Oryzias latipes: one gene and its partner. The protein of the gene in region 1 binds, or shares a complex with, the protein of each later gene. Links are inferred from orthologs where the notes say so. Each region holds a gene or a part of one and is shown on either strand. Other genes may lie near its edges.

Region 1 (3,134 bases):
AAGCTTTAGTCCCAGCTGTCCAGAGGAGGGCACACCTGTAGGGGGCGCACAGGTGACCCAAACGAAACAGGAAACGCCTGACTGTCAATTCCCTTCCATTTTATGGGGGTCAGAGGCAGGATCCACCGGCAGGTGTAGGAGACAGCAGAGAGGAGGCCTACAGTCAGGAACAGGAAGAAATGTTAGAAATGAGGAAATTAGACAATCAGAGTTTAGTTTCTGTGTGGACGTCCTACAGCAGGGGTGTCCAAATCCAGGCCTGGGGGGCCGTTGTCCTGCTGGTTTTCCAGAATCCCTGCCTGATCTGCTGCTGATTACCTGGATCAGGTGTGTTTAGCCAATAAGGAGCTACAGTGGCAGGTTGGCTGGAAAACAAGTAGGACACCGGCCCCCCAGGCCTGGATTTGGGGACCTTTGTCCTACAAGCACTTGCACATCACGAGCATTTACATGTATAAATGCTGTGTACGGACCATTGATATGTCCTGTAATCGGACTTAAGGTTACCACACGGGTCAACCCCCCCATGCAGGAGCATGTGACCGAAGGCTCAGTGATGATGTCATGACAGCGTCACCCACACGGGTCAACCCCCCCATGCAGGAGCATGTGACCGAAGGCCCAGTGATGATGTCATGACAGCGTCATGACTCTGTGGCTGTTTAATTGTTTATTGGGTGAAGTTTGAAAACACTTTATTAAAGGTTGTAATCTAAAGCTGCTTTCATACTGGAGGCAGATTAAGTTACCTCTGAATACCACAGGCGGATAACCCCCCCCCCCGTCTGTCCTCAGGTACGGCATCAAGGGTCCCGTGTACCTGAGGAACAAAGAGGGCCAGGTGGTGTCGGCAGAAGCGGGCGGCAGCTGTAAGTGGCAGGGCGGCAAAGTGCGGCGGTACCCCAGCTACATCACCACCACCACGGCGGGCGGATGCAGCGCCACCTTCAGGCTAATGAGCCACATCACTGTGAGTGAGGGTCACCCACCGTGCCTGTGACGGCAGAGAAGAAACCGCACTCAGAACCTCCACCCAGTGTTTGGGTCTAAAAAGACCCAAACACTGGCTGCTGACCCGAAGCAGCAAGTCTGCTCCATGAAGAGGAGCCTGGGGGTCAAGCCCTAGTTTAACACCCCCCCCACACACACACACACACACAGTACTTTTGTCATTGCTAGGAACAGCCACAGACCGTATATGAGGACTGGACTGAGTGGCCTCTCCTCCAAACAGGAAGTGGTTCCAAGTTTCTACAGAGAAACAAGCAGCTGTTATTCTGTTGGTCAGCAGAACCGTTCTGGATCGGATCTTTTCTCACATCTGGATAATCCTCGTTTTTCATATTTTCATGTAGTCTAAATTATTGAAGTTATAAACTGACCAATCGGACGCCTCCATAAAAGTAGGTGGAGCTTGCCGGCCCCCACATCCAACAATCAAAGCATTGGACAGATTTCATGTAGCCCCCCTTTCGAGTGGTAGGGGCGTGGCCTTCCAACAAGCTCAGTCCTGACTGGTGAGAGTGGTTGCCATAGAAACAATGACTCAGACTGGCTCGGACCAATCACTGCTCACTGATGAAGTCTGGCTCCATCATGGTGGAAAACTGGCGACTGGATTGACGTCGTGTGTTTGGAGCCGGCAGTGAAACCAGCCGTCAGCCAATGGGAAGAGCCGCTGAGGGAAGCAGACGCTCCTTTGGAGACTTGGACCTGAGCTTGAAGGTCAACATGTCCTCCTACCGACCTGCAGTCATAGCTGCTCACGGACAAACACACCTGACCCAGGTCCCAGCAGCAGGTAGGGCTGAAGCGGGAGGCCGGGGGCCCTCAAGGGGCCCTCCAGGCTCCCGCTCCAGCTGGTGGAACATGGTTGTTCTGGGTCAGCTGGTGGCTCTCTACAACTTTTAGAAGAGCCCCATTTTTAGTCGACTAAAACAGAGGTAGACTCCAAAGGTCAAAAGGTCACTAGAGTTTTAAATGAGTTGACTGCTGCTCAGCAGCTGATGAAGCCCCTGTAACCATGGAAACGCATCTCCTTTCCCTGCAGGTCCGTATTTCGGTCCGGTCCTCCAGCTGCCACTCCGACACTCTGGTCCTGGAGGTCATCAGCAATCAGCCCCACCGCGGCTCCGGGCCCCCGGCCTCGCAGGGCCACCGGCAGCTGGTCCAGGAGGTGGTCCGGCTGGCTGAGAGCGCCCAGCAGACGGCGGCGCCCACGCACAAACTGTCCCGGCAGGAGCGGGACTTCCTGCAGAGCAGAACTCCAAACCTGTACTCCATCCTGGAGGAGATTCGTGAGCTGGCCCTGATGGACCTGGACGCTCTGTCCCAAGCCTCTGAGCAGACGGTTCTGACGGTCCCTGACCCGTTACCATGACGTCACAGACAACCGGTTTTTAACGGATTTTTATGATGAGACATGTAAAAGCATTAAAACTGGATTTAGAATAAACGTGTTTTTATCTGACGTCAGACTTTTTCAGAACCTCTTTTGGGACCGACAGAAGTTCTCCCCGCCGGCCTGGATCCATGTCATCCTCACACATAAGAGCCTGGAGAAGCTTTTACTGGTTGACGTGTGCTGATGGTTTCTGCAGCAGCAACCAGACACAACCACGTTGGGGGGGGCTCCGGGTCCTTCCATCTTCTAGCAGCCTTGGTCTTGGAACCAGCTACAGGAGGAGAATGGGCTTCAGCCAGAACGGGCCCATCACAGAACCCACCCGGGATTCAAACTAGGACCTTCTGTCAATTCAGTTTGATTTCTATGGCCCAATATTAACATTAGTCGCCTCCAAGGGCTTCGTACCGGTAACTTTTTAACCCTTGTGCTATCCCATGGGGTCCAGATGACCCCCCCCTCCCTTCCATTGAGGTGTTCTCCCTACTATGACAAAGGTGGATAAAGGTGGAAAGATTTTATGTAATCCATGGACACCAGTGAAGATCACAAATCATTGAAGAAAAAAGGTTCAGAGCACTGTCTAGTGGGTCTAGATGACCCAACTGTCTAGTGGGTCTAGATGACCCAACTGTCTAGTGGGTCTAGATGACCCAACTCCCAACGTTAACGTGCCTAGGATAGAACAAGGGCTAGTGGGTCTAGATGACCCCACTCCCAATGGTAAAGT
Region 2 (3,825 bases), on another chromosome or scaffold:
GAAGCACTGGTTAAACAGGGCAGACTCTTCTCTGAAAATGAGAGCAAAATGGATGTGGATGAGCAGAAAATGAGTGGCCTCTTAGCGCCAGCTAAAATAACCCTCTTCCAGGTAGAAAGTTTTAGTTCTCCAGCTAATCAATTTGTCTGAAACTGTAGTGGATTATTTTAATCAGTGCTTTGTTTTGAAGGAGCCCGAGGTACACACTGAGCAAAACTCCCTCTCTGTAGCTCAGATGAAGGCCAGACGAATCATTGAGTCTTTTGAAAATCCTTTTAGAATGGTAGGAAATGTCAAGAGCTTAACCTTCACAATTCTTTATTTGTGCTTTGGCAGAATAATAATTTATTGCTTCTTATTCCAGTATTTACCTTCCACCGATGTGCATGTCAACAAGAATGCCAAGTTTGACCCATCCTCCAAAATATTTGAGGTACCTGAAGAGCTTTTTTGTGAAATATATTGACCGCTGTTGTTTTTAATGTGCTTTGCTTACTTTGGCACCCTGACAGATCAGCAAAAGGTGGAAACTGCAGAGCATTGAACAGCAGCAAAAAGAGTTAGAGGCTAAGCAAAAAGCCAAAGAGGAAGCAAAGCAACAGGCAAAGAAAGCCTCAGGTAATTGGCTTTTCTTTTCTACACATTACCTTTTCAAGCATTGTTTCCTCACTTTTTATCTGTTGAATTCTCTCAGAGAAAAGAACGAAGACTAAACAAAGCTACCAGGAGTCTCTTCAGAATGTTGCCACTGTGCGTCAGCAGGCAGCAGTAAGTCTTTTTACATTTCCTCGTTTCTCCGTTCATTTTGTTCTTTTGAACTTCAGACAAGCACCTCAGGTCTGTGTTGGAAGGCATGGCATATTCTTTTAGCTGGATTCACTCAAGGGCCCGCAACAGCGTTGAAAGGACAGTAGGTTTATGACTACTTTAACTCTGTGTGATACTTTATATTTTCCCAAGACAGTGAGTCCCCATCAGATGAACGGGTCTGCAGAAACACAGAATGGGGGCCATGTTAAATATTCTATCCTATAGAGGAGGAAAAATGTACAGCATGTGGGCTGGGTGTTATAAAAGTGTCTCAGATTCATTGGACACATTTTTGTTCCTCTTGAGTAACAAAGCCTCTTTTCTAGGAACTAGCAGCCTCCTGCTGCTAGTTCCATTCCTCAGGGGGTATTACTTGGCTTCCTTTTAGTTAGTTACTCGCACCCCCGCTGTCATATTAAACTTTTCTGATTTCTTTTCTTTCCAGTTTAACACTTCAGTTAAGCCTTTTACCACAGAGCAAAGCTTTTTGTCCAACTGCTACAGATAATCCTGGTGGTCATAAATCAGAAAATTTGGCAGCTGCACTTGAATGTCACAGGTGTTACTGTCCAGACCAGTGTTTTTCAACCAGTGTGCCGTGGGAGATGGTCAGGTGTGCCGTGGGAAACTACCCATTAACTGATCTAAAAACATTTCCCATCTCCAGGATATCAGCTCTGTGTTCATCCAAACAGGCCCTGATAAAACTGAGTAGTTAGGAATGTGAAAGATCGTAAAAGACTTTTACTTTGTGTTTATTTGATTCTTTTAAAGACATTTTGCTAAGAATGACGGTACCGTGATTTAGCCGTAGCTTCAGCTCTGTTTTCGGAAAAGTCCCACCCCTTTAACTGTCTCCACCAATCATTCTTGGAGGCTTAATCATACGTCATCAGTCTGACCAATCAGAAGTGGTTAAAGTCCAGACTTCCTTGTCCCGATTTAGCTCATAAAGTCTCTCAGTTCCAACAAAAATACCAGCTAAAGCTCATCTTAAGCGGTGTAGCTTTCTGCACGATCTGCTGTCAGACCGTGGAGCAAGTGAACAAAACAATGAAGCTCAGAGAGTGTCTGCGATCGGCGTCTGTTTCACACTACACCTCCCATGATGCATTGGGTTAAAGTGACAGCGTCTCAGTGAGTCCTCCCTGTTAAACGTCTTGAAACCACAACGAACCCACATCAAACCGTTTTTAAATCTTCTTGATGAAATCAGAGGTCAACAGTTTAGTTCTCCTTCAAGGTTTGTGTTTATTAACATCCAAACATCCCAGAGTTTGGTCCAAGTCATCTTTCTAACTGAAACACTTTTCTAATGAGGTCTGGATTATTTTATATGTCATTCTTTCTAAATCACTATTTAGAAAGAATATATTTCGTTTTTTGTGGGGTTAATTAAAATTGCATGTCAGTAAACTGAAGGGAAAAACAACTACCAGGGTAAATTTTCAAATAATTTAGTTCAAAATAATTACTGAAAACTAACTTAACTTTTATTACATCTTTTAGAAGAAACAGCTGCAACTTCCAGCTTTTTCTGCCACAATTATCACAACAGTGCATATGAGATTGCAGAGAAACTGTACATCAAACAGACTATAGAGTTTCTCCATTTTTCAATTTTGGATGCTGGTGTGCCGCGGGATTTTTTGTCAAGGATAAAGTGTGCCTTTGCTCGAAAAAGTTGAAAAATACTGGTCCAGACACACACTCACTTCCGTCTGCGGCAGCGTTCAGTAAGGATGCATCGATTCACTTTCCCAAAGGTTCAAACCTCGATTTTTAAATTGCAGTTTTTTTTCGGTGTGATATAAACTAAAACTCAGAAAAAACCTTCGTTTGATTTGCTAATAAGTCACCTGACATGGGTAAAAAAAAATATTTTTTTTCCCACAAAATAATAATTTGTTCCCACACAGTAGGAATTTGTTCCCACAAAATATTTAAATATTTTACTTCAAATCTCGTAATGTTATTTTTTTTGTTTTTGTGACACTAAAACTCTGTTGAAGCCTGAAAGTTTGATGAACACAGAGCTGATGTCATTGCAATAGTGAATGCTTTTTACACTGATTTAGGTGAAATTAGATAACTTCCCATTGCATACATGATGATCTTTCATGGCATACATGTGTACCGCGGCACACTGGCTGAAAAACACTCATCTAGGAAACCAAAGAAGGGCCATAGCCGATGACGTATGTGATGGACGCCAGCAGAAGACGGGACCAATTTTATTTAGTGCTTTCAAGAATACCTGTGTCCTAAAAGAGAAAGAAGTGTAGATGATTTAGTTAAAAAAACAAGCCAAAATAAGAACAGAATGGAAGGTTGACCAACATTATGAAAAAACATGGATGCAGCCGACTCGGCTGTACAGATTGTCTGAATCACCGGCTCCCTTGTCAAGGCTACCTAATTAAAACTACCCAAAAGAACCAATAAAGCTTGTAAATTATAACAACCAGGGTACATACAGTGTGCCACCTGTCAGCCACTTGCAAATATTGGCTGTTAGCACACTAGTACTTTCAGCTAGCACCTCTTTGCCGTTCGGCTCTCATGGCTGGTTTTTCAAAAACACAGATTCACTAATAGCTCAGAAATCTGTTCACAGGCAGCACTTGTTTTGTTGTCCTTGTTGTTGGTTTTGCCACCTGTTACATGAAGGCAAACCTCAAAGGTGAGATGTAGCTCACAAAGCTTCCGAATTAGATTAGGAAGAGAATAACAGCCTGATTTTTTTTTTCCAAAACGTTTTATTCACAGTGACTGTTCTGAGTGTTTTACAGATGCACAAACGAAAATATTTTTTAAAAAATTAACCCATTACGATGAAACAAACTTGGCTAAGCAGCATTTAACAAATAAAAAAAACAAAAAAAATCAGAAAACCCGAATTCCCACCTGAAATTTGTGGTCTGGAAGAGTTTTCTAACATTTTAAATGTTTCTCTATGGTCCACTTGTGTTTTCATTTTTAGATTGTTTCTTGATTTCAACCAGAAATCCCAAA

What was found.
Region 2: dis3l (region 1) and exosc10 share a complex: the UniProt entries of both Homo sapiens proteins name them as parts of the RNA exosome complex. The link is inferred for Oryzias latipes from reciprocal best matches to the Homo sapiens genes DIS3L and EXOSC10.

The regions. Positions count from the first base shown.
Region 1 is NC_019861.2:597,864-600,997, forward strand, and holds the end of dis3l (DIS3-like exonuclease 1), read left to right. Parts: intron 1-795; coding exon 796-970; intron 971-2,050; coding exon 2,051-2,380; 3' UTR 2,381-2,470; downstream 2,471-3,134. UniProt on the Homo sapiens protein: Catalytic component of the RNA exosome complex which has 3'->5' exoribonuclease activity and participates in a multitude of cellular RNA processing and degradation events.
Region 2 is NC_019865.2:9,473,175-9,476,999, forward strand, and holds part of exosc10 (exosome component 10), read left to right. Parts: intron 1-1; coding exon 2-111; intron 112-190; coding exon 191-283; intron 284-364; coding exon 365-433; intron 434-512; coding exon 513-618; intron 619-694; coding exon 695-768; intron 769-3,825. UniProt on the Homo sapiens protein: Catalytic component of the RNA exosome complex which has 3'->5' exoribonuclease activity and participates in a multitude of cellular RNA processing and degradation events.